2 linked regions of the Astyanax mexicanus genome follow. Each later gene encodes a partner of the first gene's protein in a complex. Links are inferred from orthologs where the notes say so. Each region holds a gene or a part of one and is shown on either strand. Other genes may lie near its edges.

Region 1 (8,999 bases):
ATATTACAAATGAGCAGAGTTGGCCATTCGTCAGGTTTTAAACGGAAATCTGCAAAATCGCTATTGACAGTTTACTTTTCACCTCCACAACACACTCACTGAAGTGCTTCTAAAAACATCCCTCACTTAACACCAACATCACATCTTGTTTACGCAAGCTTCCATCGATGCTTCTGGCATGAGACAAGCTCTGGTTAAACGCCAGCAGGCTGGGTTTGGTCTCACTTGATTAATTCAGCCGTGGTTCACTCGCTAAGGCTGACTTCCCTTCTTGGCCTGCAATGTGTCACAGCCTGTCAGACTCAACGTCCAGCCTGCATCACCTGCTACAGGAACACCAGCTGACCAGCTGTTGCTCCTCCTCTAGAACATTATCTATCCTCAGGTACTATGGAGCACCATTTGTTTCAACAGCGACAAGACAGGCTTGATAAGTATTGTTTCTATAGCTTATCTAGCCATGTACACAGTAATACACCTAAAGTAACCTTGATGACATTACATTCTAAATTCTAAATGTGGAGTCGGTTCCCCTTTTGCAGCTCTAAGAGCAGGTGTGAAACTCAGCAGTTATTGAGTCAGCAGAGTGCTGGAGACTTTTATGCAGTATGGGCCTCAGCACTCAGCATCCCCACCATGTGCAGTTCAAATAACAATATCTCTTAAAGGGAATGGCAAGTGACATGCTGATTGGTTTATTTAATGTTACGCCCAAAACACATCCATGATTAATTAAGAGAATTAGTACATGCCTTTTGCGCATTTTATGCTGCGTAAGGTGTATGATAGCAATTACACACTGACACGCCTTAAAACAAGCTACAAAGTTTCTGTATCTACATAGACACCAACAAACACGTATGGACACATTTTCCTTTTATATGAATGCCCTTCCTCCCAATCCCTCAAAAGCAACAGCGTGTAATGCAACTTTTCCAGACTGAATATATTCAGAGAAGTGCAGTGAATCCAAGTTCAGGGTTTACATCAAACTTCACTGAACTGCAGGTGCTTTTTTTATTCTTGTCACTGCTAGTGGCTTGCACTCCAGGCATCACCGGGCATCATCCGGTTTCACCTTCAGTATCACAATTACCTGGATCTGTGGTGCGTGGAACCAGCTATTCATTATTTAAGCCATTCACCAGAGGCCTAAGCTCTGCCAGTAAATAAATTATGAGACTGCCTTTTTCTGAAAGATATAGGACTTAATATACACAGCGGTACCAAATTCAGTACGCTTACAGAGTGCTAACGTCTCAGCATCCAAATACTGACAAATTACCAAATTAGAGGCAACAGGATTAGACAGCCTGGATTGAGAGGGCATAACTCTTCACAGGCCAGACTTCATAAAAGTGTGTTTAGCAAGAGGTGCTGGAAGGGATATGAATATATAGGGAGTATTTAAATAAGTATTTAAATTAAACTGAATGAGCTTCGAAGATTCTTCCAAATAAACGCTTTGTTTGGCATGCTGAAAAGATAGCTCACGCTGGATTTTGATTTCACAACTACACCTGTGAACAATATATTGTCCCAGAAAATAAATGAAATAAACGAAAGATATTATTGTCATTTAAAGACCACTGAATGCCACTGACATAGCAATGATAGAATAACATAACAGAGCAATTATACTCTTTTAAAAAGAAACATTTTAATTACTCTTTGAATAGGAAATATATGATATGTATACATTTTTCTTCACCTACTGCAGTCACTGCACAGTGTATGTATGGAGTCACAGTTATTGAAGCACTGGTCTGGAATTGCATGACTGGCTAAAATACTGTCCTCAGTGTGCAATAATATGTCACAGGTGCATAAAATTGGGCATTCCAACAGAAAAACTATCAATATTTAGTAGATCCTGCTTTTGCAGAAATTACAGCCTCTAAAAACTTTCTATAGCTTCTAGCTGAAGGTATTTTGGATCATTCTTCTTTACAAAACATCTCCAGTTCAGTCAGGTTTGATAGTTTCCAAGCATGAACAGCACACTTTAAAATCACACCACATCACTGTGTTTGTTTGCTATATGACACAGTTACCTGAAATTGAAATCTGTACAACCAATGATTTAAAAAAAAAAAAAAAAACGAAAAGCATGAAAATGATCAGTGGTGAACAAAACTTTTTCATACTACTGTATATACATAAAGAACAAACACAATATACAAATAAATACAATAGACAGTTATCACATATTATTGAGGTCATGTCCTTTATTGTATATGATAAGTGCATAATGTAATAATCGTGACAGGCCTATTGCAATGACTAATTGGAAATGTTGATTATGAAAATGCTCCAAAGTTTACTCCAAATTCCAATGTCGACTAATCGGTAAATTGCAACTGCAGACAGAACACATAAGCTAAATAAATAAATGAGAACAGCTGGCAAGTCAGGTGCAGTGCTAGTTATTGAAGTGATGAATTGAACGGCTAGCTGGTAAGCTAGCTAACTAGTTAGCCTAGCTTTTGCTAAGAACACAGTCAATTTAAGGCAATAATGATAAACCCAAAATTAGCTACCGCGGAAATATGATGAACAAACGCCCACAGATGAGAGCTCAGTGGCTGACTTGCAACAGTATACATATATTTTTATTTTGAGATACTAAAGTAATAACTTTGAACCTCAAAGTAAAAATTTAGAATCTCAATATGACAACTTGGTGTCTCAAAAAACGACTTGGTATCTCAGAATAACCCCTTAGTACATCAACATAACGCCTTAGTACCTCAGAATAACCACTTACCATCGTAAAATAACGACTTAGTGTCTCAGAATAACCAAAATAACCACTTAACGTCTCGAAATAACGACTTAGTAACGTTACATCAAAATAACCACTGAGCGTCTCAAAATAACAACTTGGCGTCTCAAAATAACGACTTAGTACCTCAGAATAACCCCTTAGCGCCTCAAAATAACGACTTAGTACCTCAAAACAACCACTTAGCGTCTCAAAATAACGACTTAGTGCCTCAAAACAACCACAAGCTAGTAACACTTGTTATCACAAAATAATGATACTGTACCTTAACATAACTTATTATCTCTAAATAAGAACATTGTTAAGCTGCACACAGAATGAGAGCGGTGGGCAGGTCAGGTGCAGCGCTGGTTATTGGTATAGCGGTTAGCTACCCTAGCTTTAGCTGTGAACCCAGTGTTTTAAGCTAGTCATGATAAATGCAGAGCTAGCTAAAGCAGAGATATGATTAATAAGCTCGGCGGCTGGTTTTGTTATATTAATGGTCAGTTAGCTGCAGTAAAAGCTCACACGGTGCGCAGCGGTGTATGTAACCCGCCCCGACCGTTAGCCGGTTAGCACGGCTGGCTAACCCGGAGAAGTGACAGAGCGGTTAGCAGCAGCTGCTAACAGGCTAACACCGTGAGCACACACAGAATACAGCCCGGGAAAAGTGCCCCTCCGCCCGCAACACGCCTAACCCAGCCCGCGCTTTAATAACCGTACTCTTTAGCAGAGCATGTCCGCCTGAAACGCACAGTTATCAAGTTAAATTCGCTGAATTTAAGGGTTTTCTGTACCTGCCGCCTCCCCCTGATCCGGGCCGGAGCGCCATCTTTACACAGCTCTGTGGAGTGACATCATCCCCCCAAACTTCCGGTCTCACCTGTGGAGGAGGGGTGTGTGTGCTGGTTTGGGTAGTGATGGTGATTTTTGGTGTTATTGGTGATTTTAAATCTGTTTGTTTGTTTGCTAGTAAAATCAGACAAACTGCATTTTTATTTTATCATGTTATCAATTACTTTATTACTGCACTTCACCTCTTAGACCTCAAATTCTTTTCCTCACTGCTGAAACTGATTTAAGCCCTATCCAGACAGAATGAGTTTTTCAGGGGGGGCGTCTGTGAAAAATATTTGACACTTCTACTTAGTGATAAAACTTTTGCATCTTGACTGCAATTGAAAAAAACAGGAGGACCAGTGAGTTTTTTTGGCTTTCTCGGTCACATGGCATGACTTTCAGTAGCTCCTCCATTTCCACTCACTGTTGTGTTTATGTGGATCTCAATGGAAACGTGCACCCAGTGTAATTACGGCGCTTAGATAGCCTTAGTATTTGAAATGGCATACTACAATATTACTTGCGTATTAAATCAGCCTAAAGCTAGTATACAATATGCAGTATAGTAGTATGCGATTCCATAGACAGCCACAGACTGTATATGAGTTTGGACAGAAGGACAGCGGTTGAAAAGTGAAGCTACTATGTCTCGTACGCTCTCTGGTGGCTGGCTGAGGTACAAGTTTTAACCCCTTTTTTAATGGAAGATGATGGAATTTTTTATCTAAAATTACACATCCAGTTTTTTTGGGGGGAAGTTAGGCTCTGTACATTTTGCAAGCCCCCTCCTATGTTAATAACACCCAGTGTTTTTCTTTACATGTATTGAGTTTTATAGGATTTTTGTTATAAATAAAGAGGCGTGGCGATGTGGTGATTGACGCGCTGGCTGTGCGCCTCCCCGATATGGGTGGTGGGAGTCCACGACATGTGGGCGGGGTTTGGGCAGTTACACGGCCCCGCCTCCCACCTCTGCTGCTCCTGTTCTGGCTCCACTTTGCCTCTACTGCGCAAGCGCACGCAAGATGGCAGCTTCCATTTCGGCCATCGTTTGGCTGTAAAACGCCGTAATGAGAGTAAATGGGGACGCCCTGTCCATATACTTATATACAACAGTCTATGTGTGCTTAGCAGTGGACGAATAGTTATTTTAGATGTGCTTTTTTCGGGATGGGACTAAAATTACCGGAGGACGACGGAGTTCAGTGAAGAACAGTAGGTAATTAAGCCTGTAATTTTCTCAGTGGACGTCTGAGAAAAACACATACATGGTTGTTCCATGGGAATAAAATCACAGAGGAAATTATAAAAGAGAAAATTACCCAAGGACCCCCTGAGAAACTAATCTTGTCTGAATAGCGCGTAAACCCTAAACCACATGTTTCCAATAAAGAGCCACTAAACCCTAAATCAGGGGTGTCCAAACTTTTTTTTTTGTTGGGGGCCAGAAGGAGAAATATATTTGAAGTCACGGGCCACACTGTAATAAAACAAATAATGAAATATACCACTTTAAATAATACGTTTTTCCTGATTATTTCTTTATGCACCATTTTACTTGACTTACTATCTTTATCTTTGACAGTGTTGTGTAAACTAAGATTTTTCAAATTGATGTTTAATTTCATGATGTCTCATAATATTAAACTCCTTAATTACAGCAACTTTTAAACTCTTTTGCCCTGTTTTTCTGCGCTAGAAATGCGCACTCTCTCAGCTTTTAGCCTCTTTGCCCCGTTTTTTCTGTGCTAGAAATGCGCACTCTTTCCGCTTTTAGACTCTTTGCCCCGTTTTTCTGCGCTAGAAATGCGCACTCTCTCCGTTTTTAGACTCTTTGCCCCGTTTTCCTGCGCTAGAAATGCGCACTCTCTCCGCTTTTAGACTCTTTGCCCCGTTTTTCTGCGCTAGAAATGCGCACCCTCTCCGCTTTTAGACTCTTTGGCCCGTTTCTGACACCTAGCGTTCAAACTTTGAATCTCACATTATAAAAACCTGCTTAACAGCGGGCCAACTTTCATTCTATTTCTAAAATACCTCGCGGGCCGCTCCAAAAAAGGAAACGGGCCGTAGTTTGGACACCCCTGCCCTAAACCATATTTTGTTCCATAAATATACAAAGGATTTTTTTAATGAGCCAGCTGTTGACACTCTCATTATGATATTTTTTACTTTACTTTTTACCTTATCTATAATAAAATTCTAAAATTATATATGATAAAAATGGTAACAGGACTGGTGGAAGGCATTATATTATTTTTTTTTATTTATTTAAGTATTATATAAATTTTATCTACATGTACACTGCATTATAATCCATTCACCTACAGAAGAAGTCTCACATTTTAGTGCTTCTCCTGCTTCCATAATATGATAAATATACAAAGGATTTTTTAAATGACCCAGCTGTTGACACTCTCATTATGATATTTTTTACTTTACTTTTTACCTTATCTATAATAAAATTCTAAAATTATATATGATAAAAATGGTAACAGGACTGGTGGAAGGCATTTTATTTTATTTTTTTATTTATTTAAGTATTATATAATTTTTATTTACATGTACACTGCATTATTATAGAAATTCCTATAATCAATTCACCTACAGAAGAAGTCTCACATTTTAGTGCTTCTCCTGCTTCCATAATATGATAAATATACAAAGGATTTTTAAAAAATGACCCAGCTGTTGACAATCTGTTGATAGATTATGTGATTTATTCACTTTACCTCCCTTTTTTAATGTATATTATACGTAATAAACATGCTAACAAAACTGGTGGAAGGTATTTTATTTATTGATTGATTTATTTTATCAATTTTGTTTACATGTACACTGCATTATTATGAGTTTCCTGTAATCCATCCACCTACAGAAGTACAGTACTCATATTTTAGTGCTTCTCCAGCTTCCAGCATCTTCCAGCACACATGAACCAAGTAATTATCTGTAATTATTTGCTCTAATAATTAACAATGAATAAGTAATTGATTAATAAGCCTTAATTGGGTTTTTCAAAGCATGGGGAACAAAACAGTGAGCAGGACAGTATGGGCTTTAAAGACTAGTAAGGCTTTGGGTCTTCTGATCTGATCTAACAGTAACACCAGATGGAGCTGTTGTTCTGGAGAACAGTCTCAGCCTCTCTATAAACCACAGCTGGTTTAAGGAGAGGCTGCCCATCTCCCTATCTCCGCCGATATAATCAGAAAATTACTGTCAACCGCTAGAGGGAGCTCGCGAGTGAGTCTGAAATGAGTGGGAGTGAATGGAGCTAAATGGCTAAAACACAAATTTAAAATAGTATATAACAACCTTACCAGGATATTCCTTCATTTCCTTTAAATTTGGAAAGTAAAATTATTTATTTATCTAAATAGGCAAAGCCAATAAACCTGTACATTTCATTTTTTCTACAGCAAACAGGTTTTTGCCAGTAGTGGAGCTAGCCTTACTGCTACTGTGTGCTGATTGGTTGGTGAGCTGATGCTAGTTAAAAAAATATATATTATAAAAAAAATGACAGTACCTGGCTTTTGGACTTGTCACTGAGAACAGTCAGGATAGTTCTTTTCCTCTTTGATCTGAAGCTCAAGACATTGATTTCTTCTTCCTAATACTGATCAATCTGACCACATTTCATGTTTCCACTGTGTGATTGTCCATTATCCCAGAGAAGATGATGCCGCTTCTGGACATGGTGAACAAAGTTCAAAAGAACAATGTGATATTAGTGAATATAGTAACTCTGTATTGTAGAGAAGTGGGCGGAGCTTCTGGACATGGTGAATATAAGGCTTGTGTTGTGCACAGTGAAGTTGTAAGTAATATTAGTGAATATAGTAACTCTGTATTGTAGAGAAGTGGGCGGAGCTTCTGGACATGGTGAACATAAGGCTTGTGTTGTGTACAGTGAAGTTGTAAGTGATATTAGTGAATATAGTAACTCTGTATTGTAGAGATTGTTGGTAATAAAGGTAAGTATAGTAATCTCTTGTTTATGTGGTTCTATCAGCTGTTCTTGAATGACTCTTACCCCTTACACACTAAAATTATAACTTAAATGGCTTAGTGATCTAATGCACTGTAGACGCAGAAATACAGTACCACTCAATAGTTTGGACAAACCTTAAATTCATTTTTTTTATTGTTTTAAAATGTTCTGCATTGTATATTAATACTAAAGTCATACAAACTACGAAAAAATACATTATGGAATTATAGTGTTTTATATTTTACATTCTTCAAAGTAGCATCTCTTGCTTGGATGACAGCTTTGCTCATCTTTGCATTTTCTCAGTCACATTTATGATGTAGAGTCACCTTGAATGGCTTTTAGTTAACAGCTGTGCTGAACTCTTCAAGAGTTAATTACTTGATTTTTTTGTTTGCCTCTTAATGTGTTTGAGAGCATCAGTTGTAAAGTTGTAAAGAGGTAGAGTTGGTATACAGTGAATAGCCTGATGAACTTATCCTGTAAAACAGAGAAATCTCTTGCTCTTCTATGCTTTCTTGGGGTGGTCCTGATGAGTGCCCGTTTCATCATTATAACGTTTTTAATGGTCTTCGCAGTGACTGCACATGAGAATACTTGAAATTCTTTTTTTCAGATAGACTAACCTTAATTTCTTAGTATTAAATTAGAAAGTATTTTTTCTTTACTTAGTTAAGTAGTTCTTGCTTCTCATAATATGGATTAGAACATTACCTAAATAGAGCTATTCACTGTATACCAACTCTACCTCTTCACAACTTTACAACTGATGCTCTTTAACACATTAATGCAAGGCAAGAAATTCAAGTAATTAACTCTTGACGAGTTCAGCACAGCTGTTAACTGAAAGCCTGAATTCCAGGTGATTCTACCTCATAAAAATGCCTTATAAAAATGCTGTCATCTAAACAAAAGGTGCCACTTTGCAGAATATAAAATATAAAATAAAATAGTGTCGTCAACCTGAAGTTGCAATTAAATAAATTTGCATTTAATCCCTAAATAATTTTTGAAGACTAAATATGATTAAACGTTACAGAAATGTGAGAAAAGTAAAAACTGTAAATAAGGCAGTCATGCAGAAGGGGGGGGCACTGAGCTGAGAAAGTTAACCCACCAGGCAAGATTGATATTTCATTTGTTCCACAGGCCTTTCAGCTGTCTGAATGGGACGTCTTACATAACTATTGGGACGTGGCAAGGGGGACATGAGGGATGCCGTTACCCTACTGGGATCGGAGGGTTTAGCTTGAGGCCAGCAGCGTCAGGCCTGTCCCCCCCGAAGGCCAGGTGAACATTAACCCACCTCCCTCACACAGCATCCCACCAATCACCATAAATCACCAGCGTCCTCACCCAGCGCTCCACAACAGCATCAGCATGAAGACCTCTATCTGT
Region 2 (8,922 bases), on another chromosome or scaffold:
GCTATTGCTGCTCCAGCCTCGGAGCTGCACGGCTCTGGACTCTGTATAGCACTGAAACTCTCTATAACGCTGCACGGAGTGTGTGTTTACTGCTCCTTACAACCTGACGAGTAAAATCCATACAAAAGGCGCACTGTATTATAAGACGCACTGTCAATTTTTGTGAAAATTAAAAGTTTTTAAGTGCGCCTTATAGTCCGAAAAATACGGTAATACATTTAATGTTACATTTAAATATAGCTTTATTATAATTGAAATATACTTAAGTTGCCATAAGTTGTTCCAAAATAGTACATTTAACATGTATTTAAGTACGTTTTTTTAATAATAATAAAAAAAAAGGATGTACTATTTCATGTTAAGTATACTTTTGAAAAATATACTTAAATACACTTTTCTTCTACAAGGGACTGTTTTAAAATTTCTTGATAAATTGACCAATAGAACAGCCTTAAATATATATTTTTTTACATTGACTTACATTAAAAAAGTCAAGAAAGGTTTTTCCTTCTCCTGTAAAGCTGCTGTTTTGGAGAAGCTGCATGTTTTTCATTGGAGAGCGACGATTTGTGATTTGCTATTTCCATTCCATTAGAGTTAAGGGTAAAAGCATTTTCTATGATTTTATATTGTATTTCTTATAACTGGCCCACCCGCATTCCACACGCGGATCATTAACCAGCACAGATCATCACTGATGTGCATACGGATTATTGTAATACAGAGAATGAGATAATAGAGATAAATAATAGAGAAGACATGCGTTCAGATCGAGCCTTCAGACATTCCACTCATGCCTGTTTATATTTCTGATAGCACTTTCAGCTAAAGTGTTAAAGGAGTGCTCTAGTGCTCCATGTGTTTTTTATTTAACAGAGTAAATTCCCTGTACTTGGGAAAAGAACAGGAAAAAAATGACTAAATGACTAAAACAGCATTAATAACAGAAGCTTCATGGTCACATGCTAATGTTTAGTTATTTCTAATTAAATTTTCTGACCGTTTTAGGTTAAATGTTTCATTTTTTTTAATGTAGTGCAGTGTACAAGAAATAGCAGTTTAAATTTTTTTTTATTCGATATGAAGAAATATGAAGGTTTTCATCCAATTTTTCAATTATCGAGTTTTTCATTTCAGCCTTTTGCAAACAGAATTTTAAGAAAAATGAAAAGTTAAATGTTCTCTCGATTTTCAGATTTGTCCATTTTTGTATCTTGTAACACAACATACAAAAAATATAAAAATTGGAAAATCAGAAAATAAAATACATTTTTTCATTTTTCCTGAAATTACGATTTTGAGGATTGGAAAAATTGATAAAAACTTATTTTTGTGCACTGCACTAAACAAATATTGAGTTTTTACATCCAATTTTCTATTTTTGCATTTAACCTCAAATGGTTAGAAAATTAAATTAATAAACGTTACACTGACCCTTCATCTCCATTGTCTTCTGTTATTAGTGAGTTTGAGCCTTTTGTCTTTCTCATTTTCTAGATGCACAAAGTTTTAACCATTCCAGAAATCCCCTTACTGATGGGACGCCTCTATTTCCCTCTATTTCCCTCTATTTCCCTGTATTTCCTCAAGCCTAAATTAATAATAGTGCAGTTTACATCTAATACACTATTCCTACTGTATAGAGTTCAGTGCTCAGGAATACTCCACAAACAAGTGTATTTATTTCTCTTAATATATACTGTTAAAGTCTTACTACAGGGCAAGCCTTTTCAGCCTAACTCAATTTTTTTTTATTAGTAAAAACTTTAAAATAATTACAGATTTCTGTAATGCAGCTTTTACTAGTAGAATTCTTGTTTCATATAAACTATAACTGTTTTTACTGTTAATAATATCTGATAAGCTCTGAGTGGTCCAGCGCTGGCCAAGGTGCTGCCACTATGATCCGAGGATCGCCGGTTTAAATCCCTGATCACGCTGCTTCTGCATCAGCAGCCAGAGTCCGAGAGAGTTCAGTTAGTTGGTTACAACTCAACCACCTAGCGTCAACTTAGGCTCAAACGGCTTGCCCTACTTTTACTGTACATAAAAAAGAAAGCTATGTGTGGGAATAAATGAGACTAATATATGGTGATATTATTTTGTGGCATTCCAGATACTGTATACTAAATGCCATATGTTATACAGTATGTGAGGAAAATGGTGATTATTGCAGTGTACTGATTGTTTTTTTTTTCACAGTGCTACAGTGATACTGAATGTTCAGAGATTTTAAAGAGCATTTTTGATTTGTACTGTACTTAGCTATAAAAATATAAATAGGCCTTTAAATTATGAAATGAATGTGAACAGCATTTTGTACTGTAAGGATACATAAATAAACACGTAATACTGAAGTATAATAAAGATAATGTTGTTTTAATTAACTACAGCAATACATTAGACCGGCAGATGATGGAAAAATGCAGTGGAATTGTTTTGAAATGTTTGCATTTTGAGTTTTGTTTACTGGCCTCTCAGTATTGAATGTTTCATTGTCTTACAATCAGTAAATAATTAAAGATGTCTAATCAGTATTCAGTGGTCTTTATATTGGGTAGTTTGTTGAATTAATCAAATTACAGTCATTGAGAAACAAACTATGTAAGTGTAAGTGTTTAATATTTAGTGGAATAACCCTGGTTTTAATAACAGTTTTCATGCATCTTGGCATCATGTTCTCCTCCACCAGTCTTACACACTGCTTTTGGATACCTTTATGCAAATCACTCCTGGTGCAAAAATTCAAGCAGTTCAGTTTGGTGGTTTGATGGCTTGTGATCATCCATCTTCCTCTTGATTATATTCCAGAGGTTTTCAATTTAGTAAAATCAAAGAAACTCCATTTTTAATTGCTCTCTTATTGTTTCCAGAGCTGGATATTGAATAAAAATTAACAAACAAAAAACAATACAATCTACAACTAAAAGGCCTTTTTTTAATTATGCTAAATCGTGTACTAATGGCTGAGGATTGGGGTTTGATCCCTTTAAGGATATTTAATTCCCGTGGCACATTCCAGAATAGATTATAGAGGTAGACTGTTAACTCCTTATTAAGCATAGCACATTTTCCTCTCTTTCTTTTTATTACATAAAAAGTTTATTTTCTCAGCTGAGCTAAATATACATTATTTGGTCAAAATTATTGGGACACACAGCTAGACATGCAGCAAAATGGCAAATATACAATGCTTTCATGCAGCCCTGCTATCTATTCTTCTAGAGTTCCGGCGAACTCCCTTATCATTCTGCTGCTAACTTCCTCCTAGTGTCTTTTTATACACAGTAGCTAAATATAAGTCAGTGTTGCTGCTCAGTCTCTGTGAAATATACTGTATACAAGTATATACACCAGTTGGGAGCCATGCCTTTAAATATCACTTAATAATTTCTGGAAATTAGTTATAGATATATTATTATAAATATCTTTAAAATAATATTGTGTTTTATTTTTACTCATAAGAAATGTGTTTGTTTTTAAACTCTTTTATACACTGGCAGGATCCATTAGCTTCCATGGGACATGCCAAAAATCATGGGACACAATAGTAGCTGCCAGTGTAGTACCACTCAATTCATTGTTAAGTTGGATGGCAACAAAAATATATATATTATATATATTGGTGTGATCTAAAATTTCACTCAATTCATTCTGGAGGTCCCAGATAGGCTATATCACTCACTGTGAATAGAGAGTATCAGTAGTCCAGACTTTTGCCCATTCTGAACACAATTATTTTTCAATAGTTGAATTAAACATATTGCACAAAAATATATAACATCAAAAGTGGTGTGAAGAAAAGTGAAGGCACATTTAATATTTTTTTTTTCAATATGTTGAATTCAGTAAATAAGTAAAACAACTATTTTGTTCATTAGTTTGTTTGGCATTTTATATTTATATACTCAAAAAAATGCCCAAACTTTTGCATAACACTGTATGTATGTAGGGCTAAACAGATTTCTAGTTTTAATTTTTGTATCTCTTTGTATTTATCAATGATTAATCCAACACAACACGTGACCTGTCTGTGTGTTCTACTTTACACAAGCACAGCGCCTGCTGTCGCGCATGCGCAGAACTACCAGCGACAACTCAACTGTAAAAACGCGTAATAATAAAATACAGATATAAATAAAAATATTTAAAACTAAACTAAAATAAAACTGAAAAATAATAATTTCGAAAACTAATCATTTAAATATATTTGCTTTGTTTAGTTTTATTTTAATATTTGAAAAAATACGTATTTAACTTTTTGTTTTATCAATTGTTTTAAAGAAAATATTTCTTTAAAATGTTAAATGTGTGGTTTTGATGGTTTTAATGATTTTAGTTTAAGCTTTTTCTAAATAATATACAAAAAACATGTTAAAAAAATAAAAAAACATGCTAATAGCCCGGTAATATTAAATATAACACATGAACTCTAAAGCAAAAAAAAAAAAAAAGATAAATCCGATATAACATTCAAATTTACTGCTTTTTTGCTTGTTTGAATGTGTTAATATACCAGATGTTTCAAATAAAAAATAAATCAAGCATCGTCTCAAAACGTCTCTAATATGAAATATTGTCCAATAGAGTTTGAGTGTGTCCAATACAGAATAGAGTGTGTTTTTTCACTGTAATATATTTTTCTTTTGGCTTTAGTGTTTTGTGTATATTATGTTATGCTTTTAATTAAATAGGAAATATGTTGGGTCAAAAACGTCTGCAATATAAAACGTTTGGTGTGTTTTTTTTCACTGTTATATAATTTTATTTTGGCTTCAGTATTTTTGTGTTTATTGTGTGTGTGTATAATAATAACAAGCAGGTACTTAACCTACTGGAACACTGTAATATTTAATCGGCGGTTAATACAGTGTTATTATTATAGGGATATATCAGAATTAGATGAAATAAGGCATGCAAATATTATTTAAAAAATAAAATACATATAATTGTAATAAAACTGACTGTAGGCTGTTTTTGAGGTTTGAGGTGAATGGGCTGGAGATGGTGGGGAAGGCTGGAGCTGACCCGGAGCTCCGTCACTAGTTGCATGCTGTGTGTGTGCTGATCTGGAGAGGGCAGTGCAGAGAGTGTGTGTGTGTATTTAAATGAGTGTATATGAGTGTGTGTGTGTGTATATGAGAGTACTGAATGTAGTTTAGCCTTAGCTTTAGCCTCTGCCGGGCTCTGAGCTCCTCTCCTGGGTCTCACTGAGTTTCTCTCCAGGGTCCGCGGCGGCTCTCCAGACCCGCGGTTGATCGTTTCAGCGGCGGGAGGACCTTCAGGCCGGGCCCGGGTGATGGGAGCGAATCTGCGGATCCGCGCGGTAATTAATCCCGCTGCACTGGCTGTATTCACCCTGCCTTAAAGCTAGGCTGACCGCTAGCGGCTAACAGCTAACAGCTAACGACAGGTCTGCCTTATTAAACGCGCTTATTACTGAGCGCTGAATAATTAGACAGCTTAAATTTATATATTTATATAAACGTGTTTTTTTCGTGTCATTAATTCACGAGTCGTGTCGTTTTTTATTTACTATATTTAACATTTAATAGCTTAAATCAGAGCCTGATAGGTGGCTAAGCTAACTTAGCATAGTTTAGCTTAGCATAGTTTAAATAACCCAGATGAACTGGGCTGGGCCGCTTTAGCAAACACAGGTGCAGCCCGTCCTCAGCGCTGTTTATCTCCCGATTAATCCCCTCATTTATCATTTTCTTACTGCCGCTCAGTCACACACAGCTTTAACAATGATTAAATATGTTTAATTTAGGCATGACACCGGTTTAAACGTGTTAATATTCCTTTATTTTCCTGATAACCGCCTCCTAACACTAAGCTAGCTAACTAGCTGAGCTAGCGTTAAGGAGTTAGCTCAGCTGCTTCAAGCAACTTCATGAACACACGTATATCTATTCAGATTATAGACACTTATCTAGGTTTAAGGTGGTATTTTTGAGCTGTTTTAAGGATTTATCACGAGATTAAAGCTTGACTGTCTTTATAATCTACGTGCTAGTGCGTACATGAGTTATATTATGTAAATAACCCAAGCTAAATATGTGTAGGTAAGTTTCAAAGTCAGCTGTGTACACAGCATATGGTAGCCAGAGGTGGTGGTTTGGTGTCATTATGCAATTATTTTAAATCTAATATACAATTACTTAATGGCTTATTAACTATATTCACATTTTTTAACGTGTAATTAAGTGCTATGTAATGAGATGTTTACATTGAGTGAATCGTGGTTTAAAGAGGTTTAAAACATCTTTTAGATAGGTATGTTATTGATGGCAAAATAGTGAAGAATCTGCCACGTTCTTAAATCGTACTGATTTTATTTAAGCATTGAATACGGAAAAATCAATTTTATATCTATAATGTTATATATATGTCCCAGTTCCTTATAATCGAGCACTAGTTTTGGAGTATAAGGTATGTTGAGTAAAGTTGAGTATACTCAAATTTCCATTGCCATACACCATAGTTTAGTGTGAAAACAGTGAATGCTGTTGTCCCACAATCATGTCTCGAATAGTAGCTGCATTCTAAAATTTAGGCTGCAGCTGATGTATCCTTCCCATCCCTCTGTTACCCACAGTTCTCTGTGCACAAAAAACATGGCTGTCAAAAAAACAATACAAAAGTGATGGAAAACAAATTCTCTGGAGCTCACAGCTAATCTGAAACAGCTTGTTTTAATAATTCTAAATTATTTATGTAAAGAAATATAAAAAGGAGATTTTTGTGATCCAGTGTCACAATGTGACGTTAGCATATAACATCAACACAAATCCTCATTAGATAGTTCTGTGCCAATACTACTGACCAATAAGTTACTAAGAAAGAGTATTTACAGGTACACTATCAGGCAAAAGTTTGGACACACCTTTTTTGATTCGGTGTATTAGCTTTGAGGGCAGATCTGCTCCCTCTCATACCATATCTCAAAGTAAGTGCTCTAGGAAATGGACGTTTACATAGATAGAAGAATTTAAATAGGTAGGATCCTGCAAAAATGTTTACATTAATGGGGAAACCCTAGCTAGAAACCCTATCCTAGTAAAAGCAGGCGCTTTATATTACTTTTACAGTCATAATCTGTTATAATGTGCTTATCTGCACATATCAACACATTACATAAACTGCATGCCAAGTTTTGCAGCAATCCATGGTGCATTATTTGTTTTTGGTATTTGTTTTTTTTCCACCCAGCACTCTGTGTGTATCCCTTAACCATGAATGGATTTTAAAGCATAGGTTTCAGACCCAGAATCTACTAAAATCTGTGTTAAACACTATTGATGCCTATTAATATTCACTACTCTCAACAGTTCTGACTCTGTTCTGACGTTTCACAACACTGTTTACATGTTAGTGATTTTGATTATGCAGTAAATTGTGAAAAGTCAATGTCTCATCTATAATGCAAAAGCTACTGTATAGATTTTTTTATGTTTTGAGTGAATGCTGGAGGGAATTCCCACTCAAAGTGGTTTAAATATTTCAGCACTTCTCTAATATAAAGGGTGCTTAAATATTAAAATCACTACTCAGTTTGGGAGAATCAGACTTCCCGTAGAAACGGAAATGGTCTTAAAATAGAGATATCTGAATGCTGTTAAAATGCTGAGCTCTGTTTTTGTTATCGGGGGATTTAATTATAGGAAAAAGAACCCACCAGTCAGTATTCCCTGTCGACTGTGGTCCTGTGGTCAGACTTTGACCACTAATGAAGCTGTAGAGATCTGCAGAAGTGTAGAGGTGATGAGGGGGACAAACACATTGAATATCCATAGTTTATAAATGTGTATGTTTTTATATATGCTTTCTAGTCAGTCCTTAATGTTTTTAATTAAGTCAGACATTGATGTATGCCATTTTTGAGTATATTGTTAGATAGTTATACAGGATGAGGTCTGTAGTGAGTGAATCACTAGAATGAAGAAGTGTTTCAAGCTTGACCCACTCAAATGACTTTGTTAAAATTTTAACCATATATTTACCCATCACAATCATTACCACCTCACTCTTTTATCCACTATGGGGGGTAATATTAGTCTTCTATTAGTGCAGGGTGGTGTGACCAAAGGTTTGTGACTTTGTCTGCTGTTAGGAGTATATATAATATAAAACACTAAGGCTTTAAATTAAATAAGGCTTTGATTACTATTGGATTTACTTTGTCCCACAAAATTACACAATATTTGAAGAAATCCAACTTTATTAGCAGACAAAGAGCCGAAGAATGCAAACAATAGACCTTAAAAAAGCTTTTAACACAGCTTTTATTACAAAAATAAATGTGTTTTAAATAGTTCAATAAACACTATAAACGGACCTTAAATGCTCAATGTTTAAGTATTTTTGAGTTTTTGAGTTATTTTCAGGCATTTTCTTAAAAGCTTTATTGCACAAGTAGGACAAAAATGTAATATCAGATTACAATATGTTATTATTGAAGCCATTACAGGCATTACACTATTAAAATCAGCCATCATTCATGTCTCTTTTCTGTGTGAATAATTGCTCACACTTGACACTGTGGATTGAAGAATGTATAATACTGCTGTCCCATGACTTTTGGCAGTATGTGCCTGTGTGTGTGTGTGTGTGTGTAAAGCTTTCAGCTTAGCAGTTCTATACATGTTCTAGTGTAAAATACTGAGATATTTAGAATTTATTATATATTAAAAGAGAGAATGACCTCTCGGTAATGTTCAGTGTACTGTAGTTTCATTTTCTGTTTTCTGTTTTATTGCTTTGTTTAGTGAGTGCTGGTGATAGTAGTGATGAGACAGGGGGTTAAACAGGCTCTGATCAGCTTCTCTTTAGTTTATATGGGCTACTTTTAGCTCTACTGCTTTAACTTTGACGACCTGAATCCACCTCTAGTGCACTACTAAGTGGCTTTAGTACCAG

The links.
Region 2: synrg (region 1) and aftpha share a complex: the UniProt entries of both Homo sapiens proteins name them as parts of the aftiphilin/p200/gamma-synergin complex. The link is inferred for Astyanax mexicanus from reciprocal best matches to the Homo sapiens genes SYNRG and AFTPH.

Annotation. Positions count from the first base shown.
Region 1 is NC_064425.1:13,216,741-13,225,739, forward strand, and holds the start of synrg (synergin gamma), read right to left. Parts: upstream 3,652-8,999; 5' UTR 3,600-3,651; coding exon 3,565-3,599; intron 1-3,564. UniProt on the Homo sapiens protein: Plays a role in endocytosis and/or membrane trafficking at the trans-Golgi network (TGN). May act by linking the adapter protein complex AP-1 to other proteins. Component of clathrin-coated vesicles.
Region 2 is NC_064428.1:35,655,722-35,664,643, forward strand, and holds the start of aftpha (aftiphilin a), read left to right. Parts: upstream 1-5,034; 5' UTR 5,035-5,326; intron 5,327-8,922. UniProt on the Homo sapiens protein: Component of clathrin-coated vesicles.